Linked DNA regions of Oryctolagus cuniculus. The protein of the gene in region 1 purifies or fractionates together with the protein of each later gene. This does not show direct contact. Links are inferred from orthologs where the notes say so. Each region holds a gene or a part of one and is shown on either strand. Other genes may lie near its edges.

Region 1 (3,569 bases):
GAAATGCTGATGAGCTACCTTTCATATGCTTATTTGTCCTCTGTAGATCTTTGATGAATGATGTGTTTTTAGATTTTTTTCTGCCCCCTTTTAATTGGCTTTTTCTAAAACTCCATTAAAATTATTGTCCACAGGAAAAAGGTTATACTTTCCATCATCACTTGACACGCACATGTTTGTGTGTAGTCTGTGTGCATTAAAATAATGTTAGCTAAGGCTTCAAAAGAAACTATTTATACTTGTTCCCTGGGATATACTCTGATGTTTCCTGTTGTTTATTAATTTTTTGACATGCTCACAGCCTAACAAGCAGTACTCTCAGAGTGCGTGAAAGCTCACAGTCGCGCACAGCACAGTGGTACTGCCCCTCATTGCCTCACATAGCCACCTGGCTTCCTTGAATACCCCCTCCACTGTGCGCCAACACTGCTCACTTCTTGGATGGTCTTTTTCTCTTTGTCTCATCTGGGCACGTGTGAGGGAGACCCACCTCAGCAGCGTGAAACTGAATGGGACTGCTTTTCCTTTAGGCCTAGGCTAGAGGGCACCTGGCCACCCCAGACTTAGTGCCTCCATTGGGGTGGGGTCAGGACATGGGAGCATAGGATTTTGGAATAACAGGCCCCACAACCCAAGCCTACTTTTCCCCTAGTCACTGATAAATAGGCATCTACAAGGGTGCTATGTGGGAGCACCTGTCTTCAGGTCTTTTTTGCAAAGCCTGGGCCCCTGTCTCCCTGAGCCCATTTTGGCTCTTGGCCCCACATGCCTGTTCCTCTCCCCCTTGCAGTTTGCAGAGCAGTCCCTGATGAAGAATGCCATAAAGACATCGGAGGAGTCATGGATTGAACAGCAGATGCTGGAAGACAAGAAACGTGCTACAGACTGGGAGGCCACAAATGAGGCCATTGAGGAGCAAGTAGCTAGGGAATCCTACCTTCAGTGGCTGCGAGATCAGGAGAAACAGGCCCGCCAGGTCCGCGGCCCCAGCCAGGTTCGTAATGGGCTCTGTCACTGATCTGGCCCTTCCATGTTTTGCTCCAAACTGAATAGTAGTAAGCGGTTTGACTTCCATAAGGGAAGGAAGTTTTCAGTCCCATCTATAGCTCATCTTGGTCTTAATCTTGGCATTTTGCCTTTGAACTCTGTAACCATGTGGGCAACACTCGCTTCAAGGAGCAAAGGAGGGTAGTCACTGGTTCTAGTGACATGGGTGCATGGTGGATAGCTGCAGAGAGACAAGCTTCTGTTGGATGCCCTTGAGTGCCAGAGGCAGCCTGCACTGTCCTTAGTGATCCCATCTACTGAGGGAGACAGAATCACCGGTGGGGCCTGTGACCCTGGCTGGGAGCCCAGTGGAGGTGGGGGCTCTGGTCAATCTTCATAGAGGAAGATTGAATAGTTAGGGCACAGCAGACAGGCATCTGAAGAATCACAAGGAATTTGGAGTGACTGGATGTTGGCGATTGTTCAAATACTTGTTGCAAGCCTGTGCTAGGCACTGTTCTCGGGACACTTTGGTGAATGTGGCAGGCCAAGATCCCTGTCCTTATGATGTTTGCATTCGTGCAGAGTGAAACAAAATGAAGAAGACTAGAATGAATAAATCAGTTGAGAGGTGCTGTGGATGAGAAATGTAGAGCCAGGGTGGAGGGGATGGGAGTTCACAGTACTAAAGGGTGTGGTCAAGGTAGGCCTCAGAGCAGATGAGGCTTGAGCAGAGACTTGCAGAAGAGTGAGCTGAGCACATATGCAGGGAATGGCAGGGCCTGGGATTCAGGCACAGCCTGGAGGGAGGCCAGTGTAACTGAATAAAATGTGGTAGTAGGTGAAGTGAGGGAGGGGTGGGGCCAGCTGGGATAGAGGCTTGTGGGCTGTGGTGAGGTCTTTGGCGTTTGTTTGTTTTCACCTACTTGAAAGGCAGAGGGACAGAGAGAGACCTTCCATAGGCTGGTTCACTCCCGCATGCCTGCAGCAGCCTGGGCTGGGCCAGGTGGAAGCGAGGGGCCCAGAACTCCATCCAGGTCTCCTACATGGGTGCAGGGGCCCAAGCACTTAAGCCATTCTCTTCTGCCTCCCAGGATGTGTCAGCAGTAATGCTGTATCAGAAGCCAAGTAGCCGGGACTTGAACTGGCACTCCGATATGGGATGTAGGCATCCTAAGTGGCGGCCTTACCTGCTGCCTCACAATACCCTTCCCAGGACTTTGGCTTTTACCTTGAGTGAGGGAGATGTATGGGAGTGTCGTGAACAGAGGAAGGACCTGATTTGGGATTTGACAGGATCCCCCTGACTGCCGAATGGCGAATAGAGTGTGAGGGGTGAAGGAGGGAACGAGGAAGAAGGCTACTGAACTAGACTAGGTGACCAGTGACCCTGCTGGTAGGGGTGGTGGGGAAAGGGATTGGATTTGGGGTCTGTTTTGAAGGTAGAGGTAACCGGATTTCCTGTCATTGTCTGTCACAGCTGTAATGGTATGAGAAAGGATTAACAGAGGCCTGCATGGAAGCTGATCATAGCCAGGGGCCCGGGAAGGGCATGAGCGCTCAGGGCTGGGGCACAGGAGAGTCCTGGCTAGTGTTAGTCCTTACTGCTCTTCCTCCCCTGCTACAGCCCCGGAAAGCGAGCGCCACGTGCAGTTCAGCCACAGCAGCAGCCTCCAGTGGCCTGGAGGAGTGGACCAGTCGGTCCCCGCGGCAGCGGAGTTCGGCCTCATCCCCCGAGCACCCTGAGCTGCACGCCGAGCTAGGCATCAAACCCCCTTCCCCAGGCACTGTCTTAGCTCTTGCCAAACCTCCTTCACCCTGCGCACCAGGTCAGTGACTTGCTTATAGGGCACATGCTGGGGTCAGAAGGCACTGCCTGGGACCTGGGCCTTGGGCCCTACCTCTGACTGTCCATTTGCCCTAGGTACAAGCAGTCAGTTCTCTGCAGGGGCCGACCGGGCCACTTCCCCCCTCGTGTCCCTCTATCCTGCTCTGGAATGCCGGGCTCTCATTCAGCAGATGTCCCCCTCTGCCTTTGGTAAGCTTCCTCTGGGGACAGGGGCCAGCTGGGAATTGGGGGGAGACTGGAAGAGGGAACTTCTGGAGCCTCTGGCTGTCTCCCCAAGTAAAGAAGTGAGATGGCATAATAGAGAATTTTTTTTCAGCTTAGGGGATTTGTCCCAAAAGGGGGCTAAGTGGGATTTCACAGGCCCAGGGGAGCCTTTTCCATAGAGAAAGGAGTGAGAGGAGCCTGAATAGGAGAGCCGGGGGATTAGCCACAGGTGAGGAGAAGGCAGGCTGAGGGTGCCTCATAATGCATTTCCTCCTCTTTTTGCCCAGCAGGTCTGAATGACTGGGATGATGATGAGATCCTAGCTTCGGTGCTGGCAGTGTCCCAACAGGAATACCTAGACAGTATGAAGAAAAACAAAGTGCACAGAGACCCACCCCCGGACAAGAGCTGATCGAGACCCAGGGACTGGAACCATCTCCGAACCCCCCCCAACTCCTGCCCTCCGGTGCCACCCCGCCTTCTTTGGCTTTCTTCCCTCTTGCCTCCTTCCCCTTTTCCCTCTCCCTCC
Region 2 (3,569 bases), on another chromosome or scaffold:
AGCAGCCTTCTAAACAGTACTTGAATAAGTCTCTTGTCAAAAATGCATCAAATCACATGAAGTCAATGACATCTTACTAGTAAAATCCCAAACTGTGTTCACTGCTGAAGCATCACTGCTACATCAAAACCACTTACTTATTTTCAGTGTCTGCCACTGGATGTTCTTCACCTTCAGGTGTTTCCTCAGTCACATTTGATTGATCCAAGTCACTGCAATTATAAGATATTTGTTTCTGAATGTATTTTGGGGACTCTCTAAGGAAAGAAAAGAAAAAGAAAAGCATCTAGATCCATTTACGTGTAGCCAAAGAGTTCTTCGTAACAATTAAAAACTTCATAATCTTTTGTCTTTTCCTACTAAATTTATTCCCCAGTACAGCTCTAAGAGAAAACAACATCAACTACTGGTGATTCACAGGCTTATTCACAAGTTAACAAGAACCAGAATGTAAGCAGCTGGAAAAGTAACTATTACAGACACAAAGGAAATCATTAGAATCCTCAAGTAACTTCAATGTAAAATATCAAGAAAAGCTTTATATTCACATGAAAAAAAATTAGTAACATATACAAGTATACAGAAGTATAGAATAATTGCTCATTTGATATACTGTAACCCAAATCTATCCCATAAGGCATTGTCTTTTAAGACAATATCTCTGAAATAAGAACATCCATTCTTGTTCCAGGAACAAAATTTAATAAATGTATAGGTTAAGACTCTAGATTAGTTTAGGATCAATTTTATTAAAAAAATCGGAATACCAACGTTAATTCATCTTTGACAGTTCCCCAGTTGTGAGATCCGCTACCTCCACGTTTGTCCTCGTGCTTCAGACCACTGTAATGTGAAAAAGAACTAACAAAACTGAGTTAACATAATACTCTTTAGTTCTAGAAATTCAAATTTTGTTTATTAAATAAATGCATTAAAATATAAACATAAAATAAAAACCAATCTAAGACTTACGATCTATCACTTCCACTATGCCTGTCAAATTCACGTTTGCCACGAGAATCAAATCCATCTCCTCGGCCCATTCCACGTCCACGGCCTCCTCGACCTCTTCCTAGACCACCACGGCCTCGGATAGGTCGGTCAATTATAGGCCTACAATACAAAATTTAAAAATTTAGATTTCCATGGTTTCCAAAAAAAGGAGTAAGAGAAATCTATTCAAGCACTCAAAAACACATATTTACTGGCTCATAAATCATCAGTTAAAGACATGCTTTAGAAAATTCTAGTCTATTTCTAAACACATAAAGGAAATCAGAACCAGGAAGCTCCCATTCTCAGAAGAAAACTGTTTTTGGAATCCTCACAGGGGTAGGGAACCTTTTTTTCTGCCAAGGGCCTTTTGTATGTTTATAACATCACTCTCAGGTCATACAAAATTATCAACTTAAAAAAATTAGCCTGCAAAAGTTCCTGAATTTCAAGTCCCACTTGCAGTTGCCTTGGCAAGACCAAACCGAATAATTTCTTACACTTCACACAGCCCAAAAGTTGGCCATTCCCGACCCCTGCTCCAAAGCATTACTACTAGTGCATAACTACTAGTTTTCACTATTATTCACTGATTATAATCAAGTAACACGATTATTCTCCAATACATTTAAAAACTAAATTAAGCACAACTAACCTGCAGAATGAATAACCTTTTTTACTATTTAAAGAGCATTTTTCTTTTAAGTCAAAATCTGGGGAGAGCAAAGAAATGACAGTGGCCATCAATTCAACTGAAACTGCCTCATTAGAAATCTAAGTCTGGACTGTTATCCAAAGGTCTGAGGATAACAATATACTCAGATACCTCAGAAACTGGTAAATGCGATCAGCCTCTCTGCTACCTGGCAATGATGCCCAAGTGACAGCTTTGTGTTAATATAGGACTATGCATTGACAAAGCATGAAAAGACTTTTTCTAAAAAAGAAATCTTACCTATCAACTGAAAACTCTCCTCCTTCACCCTTTTCTTCTAGTGGCTTTTCAAATCTTCTTTCACGAGGTGGTCGCCTTTCTGGTCTTCTATCAATTATTTTCCCTTCACCTTGAAGCTGTTGATCAGGTCTTCTCCCAACACGTCTTATTCCTAGAACATTAGATAACCTGTATAAGCAAATTATCTCTGCAATACAAAAAGTTTAGTCCTAGGCTATCCAAAAACCACAGTGCTACTTTTTCAGTCCACTAACTAGCATTTCCCATTGGAAAAAGCAAACACCAACCATTCCTAATGTGTAACAAAGTATTTTAGGGAAATTCTTAAAAACAAAGTTTGTTGTGAACTTCTATTTAGTTTGCCAAGTTATCTTCCCACATTAAAGCATTCTCTATAACTGTCTTGAAGTCATTTGAGCAGTCATTCCGCCTCACCTTTTTCAAGATGTCAGCCTATTGATAATTTAAAGAAACTGTAGACCAGAGATACATTTTGGCTTTAAAGTATCAAAGAAAATAATACCAACAGTCATTCATAAGTAACCAATTAAATCAACCAAAAAAAAAGTCGTGCTATTTTAGTCTATATAATCTGAAAAAAAATTGAGTAAAAAGACCCATAATTCTATGAAATTACACACTGAAAGGAAAACAAATGGTATTTAATGTTATTTAAAAAAATCCACCATCTAAAATAGTTATTTAACCAGAAAAGTACTATCTTCTGTAAATATCTAATACATGAAAAGCGTGCACAAACATCTACACTAGACACCTAGCTAAAAAAAAAAATTCTCATGTAACCACTAGGAAAATAGCTTATTTATCAATATGAATGGAGAAAGTCTGTTTTTAGGTTTACTCTAACACGTATGTTTGTTTTCAAAAAATCTTTATAAAACCACATTTATACACAGAAGCAGTATTATCAGAAACTATGGAAGATATCTGAATTAGTTACTGATTTCCTACCCCCATACTGTTTTTTTTCCTGTTAATGCCTTAAGTCCAAACCAACATGAATTATTGGTGACCTTAGGATAAACAGATTGATGGCTAAATTCATGACTGAAATTTCAGGTATGCTGAAATTACCAAACCACAATTTCTGACAAAGTCAAAAAGCAGTTAAGAAATTGGTTTTACAAAATCTGAAGTTATTTCTCTTGGGTTCTTTCTAAGAAAGTGGAACACAATCAGGGCATACCCAATCATTTAGCAGCCTGTTACCAAACACTAAATTATCAATCTGGTTATTAAAATGTTAAGGTTCATTCCCTATAAACTCTCAGAATAGACCACAAATGTCAGACCTTACACTGAGGCACTTAAATAAATGTCATCAGAGGCATAATGTATTGGGGTGGAGCTATAGAACCAATTCCCAGGCTATCCAAGCCAAATGCACCCAATTAACAACTTGCTTCCCCACCCAATACTATCTTGCAGGATCTAGAAAAATTTAAATAGGCTCATCTAACGCGAAATAATTGGTATTTTTTTTTAAAAAAAGTTTCTTCTGATACATTAATACATACCTGCAAGCCCACTAACTGCACTAGATTCCAGACTATTATTTAAAAAAAAAAACCTGGTCTACAACCTCAGTGACTTTGCTGAA
Region 3 (3,565 bases), about 2.2 Mb from region 1:
TGCATTGACATACTACCATTTTACCTGGATAGGAAGACAAAGACATTTTGTGCTCTTTCAGATACCTGGACTACAGACGAGTGCCCAACAGCAACCCTCCTGAGTATGAGTTCCTCTGGGGCCTCCGTTCCTATCATGAGACTAGCAAGATGAAAGTGCTGAGATTCATTGCAGAGGTAATGGAGGAACTGCTCTAGAATTGATAGGTCAAGAGATGAGGTATCAGTGGTTGGGAGAGGCCAAGAACAGGAATGAGATCCTCGTATGGCACATGGTAGGTGCTGCATTACTGGTGATAATTTATTGTTGTTTTTATATAAGCAATAACAAAAAATAGGGGGCTTAATATGTATTAGGTGCTTAATACAATGGTATTTCAAAAATGGGTGGAAGATGGAATTAAAATATGTTTGTTTTGGTGCAGAAAGGTTTTGAATACCATGTATAACGAGGGATCTTCAAAAAGTTCATGAAAAATGAGAATTACAGAAAAACTGGATTTAAAAAATTTTTACCAAAATTAACTTACCTCTCTTTAAAAATGCTTCTTTATTTATTATTTCCATGTACTTGAAAGACAGAGTGAAAAAAAGAGAGATCTTCCATCTACTGGTTCACTCCCTTAATGCCCACAACAGCCAGGGCTGGGTCATGCCAAGGCTGGAAGCCAGAAGCCGCGTCTGACTCTCTTATGTGGGTGTCTGGAGCCCATACACTTGAACCATCATCTGCTGCTTCCAGGATGCATTAGCAGAAAGTTGGTTCAGGGCTTCCTAAGTGATGGCTTAACTCACTAAGCCACAGCTTTTGCCCCTAAAGTTATCACTCTCTTTTTAAAAGACTTTATTTGAAAGGTAGAGTGACAGAAAGGGGGAGAGAGAGAGAGAGAGAATATTTCCTGTCTGCTGGTTCATTATCCTAAGAGCTGCAACAGTGAGACCTGGGCTAGGCTGACACTAGGAGCCAGGAACTCCATCCAGGTCTTCTACAAGGGTGGCAGGGGCCCAGGAACTTGGACCATCTTTATTGTCTTCCAGGCACGTTAGCAGGGAGCTGGATTGGACTCAAATCAGCACTCTGATATCAGATACTGGCATCACAAGTGGTGGCTTAACCTGCTGTGCCAGAATGCCAGCACCTAAACTTATCTTTCTCTTTTTTTTTGTTTGAAAGTCAGAGTTACACACAGAGAGAGGAAGAGACAGAGAGATTTTCCATCCACTGGTTCACTCCCCAAATGGCTGCAGTGGCCAGGGCTGGGCCAGGCTGAAGCCAGGAGTCAAGAGCTTCTTCCAGGTCTCCCATGTGGGTGCAGGGGCTCAAGCACTTGGACTGTCTTTCACTGCTTTCCCAGGCACATTAGCAGGGAGCTAGATTGGAAGTCCAGCATCTGGATCTTGAATAAGCAGCCATATGGGATGCTGGCATTGCAGGCAGCAACTTTACCTGCTACACCACAATGCTGCCCCCTAAACTTACCTCTTAATTCCATTTTTTCATGAGCATTTTTAAATACCCTCGTATATATTAACTAATACTGTTAAGGGTTGGATTTTTAATATTTTTATTCATTAATTTTCCAACTTTATTACAGTTTTGTTGACATAATGTATATAATGTACAACATTATCTTTAAGTGTTTTTTTGTTTTTTTTCACTTAATCAAATTTAACATTTTTGGAATACAAGGTGGTATTTTGGTAATTTTTATAGATTATGGAGTATGTGTATGTAATATGTGTACATTATGTAATGATTAAATGAAGCTGATTAGCTGTCCAGATCACATACTTAGCATTTTTATGATGACAAGATTTAAAATGTACTCAGCAATTTTCAAGTATGCAATACATTGTCATTAACTATAGTAATCATGTGTTAGACATTATTCATCCTAAGTTAAATTTTGCATGTTTTAACCAGTGTCTCCTTCTTCCAGTCTCCCCACCTCCACAATCTCTGGTGACTGTTACACTTTGTGCTTTTAAGAGTTCGGTTCTTTCAGATTCTACCTATAAGTGAGATCGTGCAGTATTTGCCTTTTTGTATCTTATTTCACTTTAACATAATGGCCTCTAGGTTCATCCATGCTGCCACAAATAGCAGGATTTCTTCCTTTTAAAGGCTGTATAGTATTATCTTTTAAATATACACCTTCATTATCAAGTCATCCATTGATGGACGCTTAGGTTGATTCTGTATCTTAGTCATTGTAAATAGGTGTGATTCTGTTTTCTGTTCCTCATCTCAGGTTCAGAAAAGAGACCCTCGTGACTGGACTGCACAGTTTATGGAGGCCGCAGATGAGGCCTTGGATGCTTTGGATGCTGCTGCAGCTGAGGCCGAAGCCCGGGCTGAAGCAAGAACCCGCATGGGGATTGGAGATGAAGCTGTATCTGGGCCCTGGAGCTGGGATGACATTGAATTTGAGCTGCTGACCTGGGATGAGGAAGGAGATTTTGGAGATCCCTGGTCCAGGATTCCATTTACTTTCTGGGCCAGATACCACCAGAATGCCCGCTCCAGATTTCCTCAAACCTTTGCTGGCCCCATCATTGGTCCTGGTGGCACAGCCAGTGCCAACTTTGCTGCCAATTTTGGTGCCATTGGATTCTTCTGGGTTGAATAAACTGTTTGGTAGGTATTTCTCTTTTTGAATTGATAGAGTCCTTGGGGGTTATAATTATGTGCATGAGCTAGGAGTCAGGAAATTTGTGATGAGGAAATGAGGGAATTGTAGGGCAGCACTATTTGGCATTTATATTCCTTATTATTTGAGATACATATCATTGATTTTTCCACTTTTTCTTTCTTATATTCACAGATATTGCTCATCGGTTGCAATAGTCTTTCCCCTGAATTGAGGCTGAAGTCTCAGATTCCTTCTAAAACACAGCTATCTAGAGAGCCACATCCTGTTGACTGAAAGTGGCATGCAAGATAAATTTATTTGCTGTTCCTTGTCTATTGCTTTTTTTCCTTGTGTGCTGTCAAGTTTTGGTATCAGAAATAAACATTGAAATTGCAAAGTGAATTAGATGTGCTCCCCCTTTTTCTTTCTGTGTTTGGGGAGAGATCAGCATATTTAATGAGAGAGGTGGAACCTTAGTTATAGCCTGAAGGGTGGATCAGATTTCAGCAGAGATGTGGGTAGATCAAGCTAATGGATTGGGGAAAAAAAGAGGAATTAATGAAGTGTTAATAAGGCCTACAAATTAGTGTAGTTTTTCAGTGAGCATCATTTAAGTGAATCATATGATAGATATGTTGCTGAATGTCCTGAAGTAACACTGAGAGAAATCATAAAATGAAGGGATGTCTAGGTGGTCAGAAGGCTTGATTTAAGACAAGACAGAGGAGGTAGAACTAACTACATGTGATAAGGTGTAAGGAATGGATAGTTGAAGAGGAGAGATGGCTGTTCCTGGAGAATGAAGGGTCAGGGGCCTGGGATTCTGGACTGTTGATTTTACTGTGGAAAATGAAAAAACTTCAGGTTGGAAGCAAGAGTAGGTGCCAAAGTCTGTTCTGTGAGAAGGAACATGCACCCCTAGCCACATCTCCC
Region 4 (2,452 bases), on another chromosome or scaffold:
GGGGGTGAGGGCGGGCCCATGGGCAACATCATGGTGCGTGCTGGGGGCGGGCCGGGGGTGAGGGCGGGCCCATGGGCAACATCATGGTGCGTGCCGCGGGGCGGGCCGGGGGTGAGGGCGGGCCCATGGGCAACATCATGGTGCGTGCCGCGGGGCGGGTGGGGGCGAGGGCGAGGGCGGGCCCATGGGCAACATCATGGTGCGTGCCGCGGGGCAGCCGGGGGGCCAGGGCGAGGGCGGGCCCATGGGCAACATCATGGTGCGTGCCGCGGGGCGGGTGGGGGCGAGGGCGGGCCCATGGGCAACATCATGGTGCGTGCTGGGGGCGGGGGGGGGGTGAGGGCGAGGGCGGGCCCATGGGCAACATCATGGTGCGTGCCGCGGGGCGGGCCGAGGGCGAGGGCGGGCCCATGGGCAACATCATGGTGCGTGCCGGGGGCGGCAGCCCGTGATGACCGAGACTTCTTCACTTTGACCTGATCTCTGGTGAAGACAGCCCGCGTCTGAGGCCGGGGTGCCAGGGCGGGGCGGGGCCCACGGCGGCCGCGTCCACGGCCGCTCAGCGCCGCCCTGCTCCCCCAGATCGACCCCGTGCTGGGCACCGTGGGCTTCGGGTCCGGCCTGCACGGCTGGGCCTTCACGCTGAAGCAGTTTGCTGAGATGTACGTGGCCAAGTTCGCAGCCAAAGGCGAGGGCCAGCTGGGGCCGGCGGAGCGGGCCAAGAAGGTGGAGGACATGATGAAGAAGCTGTGGGGTGACCGGTGAGCGCGGGGCGGAGGGGCGGCGGGCGGGCGGGCAGGCAGCAGCAGGGCTGAGACCTGACGGCCCCCGCCCCTGCCCCCGCTCCAGGTACTTCGACCCGTCCAACGGCAAGTTCAGCAAGTCGGCCACCAGCCCCGACGGCAAGAAGCTGCCGCGCACCTTTTGCCAGCTCATCCTGGACCCCATCTTCAAGGTGGGCGGGGCCGGGGGCTGGGGGGGCCCAGGGCTTGGGTTTGGAGCGGCATGCGGGCCCCCTCCCGGCGCTGGGCTCACGGCGCGGTGTCGCCGGCCGCAGGTGTTCGACGCCATCATGAACTTCAAGAAGGAGGAGACGGCGAAGCTGATCGAGAAGCTGGACATCAAGCTGGACAGCGAGGACAAGGACAAGGAGGGCAAGCCGCTGCTGAAGGTGGGCGGCCCGCCAGGGCCCCGCAGGGCGCCCCACGGAGGGGCAGGGAAGGAGGGGACAGGGAGCCGCCCGGCGGGCCCTGAGCCCTGCGCCGCCCTCCGCAGGCTGTGATGCGCCGCTGGCTGCCGGCCGGGGACGCGCTGCTGCAGATGATCACCATCCACCTGCCCTCGCCCGTCACGGCCCAGAAGTACCGCTGCGAGCTGCTGTACGAGGGGCCGCCCGACGACGAGGCCGCCATGGGCATCAAGAGCTGCGACCCCAAGGGGCCCCTCATGATGTACATCTCCAAGATGGTGCCCACCTCCGACAAGGGCCGCTTCTACGCCTTCGGCCGCGTGTTCTCGGGGCTGGTGTCCACCGGCCTCAAGGTCAGGATCATGGGCCCCAACTACACGCCCGGCAAGAAGGAGGACCTGTACCTGAAGCCGATCCAGAGGTGAGCGCCCGGGCGGTGGCGGCCAGTGAGCCCGCCGCGCAGTGGCCGGGGCTGGCCTGCAGGGGCGCGGGTGGGCGGTGCTGTGTGTCCGGGTGCCGCCGCGCTGACGGGCTGCGCCCGGCCTGCCCAGGACCATCCTGATGATGGGCCGCTACGTGGAGCCCATCGAGGACGTGCCGTGCGGCAACATCGTGGGCCTGGTGGGCGTGGACCAGTTCCTGGTGAAGACGGGCACCATCACCACCTTCGAGCACGCCCACAACATGCGGGTGATGAAGTTCAGCGTGAGCCCCGTGGTGCGCGTGGCCGTGGAGGCCAAGAACCCGGCCGACCTGCCCAAGCTGGTGGAGGGCCTGAAGCGGCTGGCCAAGTCGGACCCCATGGTGCAGGTGGGCGGCGGGGCCGGGCGGGCGGCGGGGCCGGGGGGAGGGGGCTCCGGGCTGGCCGAGCGGGGAGGGGGCTCAGGGCTGGCTGAGCGGGGAGGGGGCTCCGGGCTGGCTGAGCGGGGAGGGGGCTCCGGGCTGGCTGAGCGGGGAGGGGGCTCCGGGCTGGCTGAGCGGGGAGGGGGCTCCGGGCCGGCTGACGTGCCGAGCCCCTGCCCGCAGTGCATCATCGAGGAGTCGGGTGAGCACATCATCGCGGGCGCCGGCGAGCTGCACCTGGAGATCTGCCTCAAGGACCTGGAGGAGGACCACGCCTGCATCCCCATCAAGGTGCGGGGCCGCGCCCCGTCCTCCCTGCCCTGTCCATGCCCGCCCCTGTCCTCCCCCGCCCCTGTCCCCCCCCCCGCCCTGCCCTCCCCCACCCCTGTCCCCCCCCCGCCCCTGTCCTCCCCCGCCCTG

What was found. The genes of interacting proteins can lie anywhere in the genome.
Region 2: the proteins of OTUD5 (region 1) and SERBP1 purify together in Homo sapiens (affinity purification with mass spectrometry, with the first as the bait; 3 studies listed by BioGRID). This does not show direct contact. The link is inferred for Oryctolagus cuniculus from reciprocal best matches to the Homo sapiens genes OTUD5 and SERBP1.
Region 3: the proteins of OTUD5 (region 1) and MAGED1 purify together in Homo sapiens (affinity purification with mass spectrometry, with the first as the bait; 3 studies listed by BioGRID). This does not show direct contact. The link is inferred for Oryctolagus cuniculus from reciprocal best matches to the Homo sapiens genes OTUD5 and MAGED1.
Region 4: the proteins of OTUD5 (region 1) and EEF2 purify together in Homo sapiens (affinity purification with mass spectrometry, with the first as the bait; 3 studies listed by BioGRID). This does not show direct contact. The link is inferred for Oryctolagus cuniculus from reciprocal best matches to the Homo sapiens genes OTUD5 and EEF2.

What each region holds. Positions count from the first base shown.
Region 1 is NC_091453.1:34,099,687-34,103,255, reverse strand, and holds part of OTUD5 (OTU domain-containing protein 5), read left to right. Parts: intron 1-790; coding exon 791-994; intron 995-2,614; coding exon 2,615-2,816; intron 2,817-2,911; coding exon 2,912-3,025; intron 3,026-3,327; coding exon 3,328-3,452; 3' UTR 3,453-3,569. UniProt on the Homo sapiens protein: Deubiquitinating enzyme that functions as a negative regulator of the innate immune system. Has peptidase activity towards 'Lys-48'- and 'Lys-63'-linked polyubiquitin chains. Can also cleave 'Lys-11'-linked ubiquitin chains (in vitro).
Region 2 is NC_091438.1:105,138,111-105,141,679, reverse strand, and holds part of SERBP1 (SERPINE1 mRNA-binding protein 1), read right to left. Parts: intron 2,100-3,569; coding exon 1,949-2,099; intron 1,114-1,948; coding exon 973-1,113; intron 862-972; coding exon 772-861; intron 258-771; coding exon 138-257; intron 1-137. UniProt on the Homo sapiens protein: Ribosome-binding protein that promotes ribosome hibernation, a process during which ribosomes are stabilized in an inactive state and preserved from proteasomal degradation.
Region 3 is NC_091453.1:36,330,518-36,334,082, forward strand, and holds the end of MAGED1 (melanoma-associated antigen D1), read left to right. Parts: intron 1-61; coding exon 62-176; intron 177-2,251; coding exon 2,252-2,629; 3' UTR 2,630-2,637; intron 2,638-2,824; 3' UTR 2,825-3,034; downstream 3,035-3,565. UniProt on the Homo sapiens protein: Involved in the apoptotic response after nerve growth factor (NGF) binding in neuronal cells. Inhibits cell cycle progression, and facilitates NGFR-mediated apoptosis. May act as a regulator of the function of DLX family members.
Region 4 is NC_091447.1:59,308,186-59,310,637, forward strand, and holds part of EEF2 (elongation factor 2), read left to right. Parts: intron 1-444; exon of another isoform or gene 445-509; intron 510-582; coding exon 583-761; intron 762-849; coding exon 850-955; intron 956-1,057; coding exon 1,058-1,171; intron 1,172-1,275; coding exon 1,276-1,610; intron 1,611-1,740; coding exon 1,741-1,999; intron 2,000-2,215; coding exon 2,216-2,323; intron 2,324-2,452. UniProt on the Homo sapiens protein: Catalyzes the GTP-dependent ribosomal translocation step during translation elongation.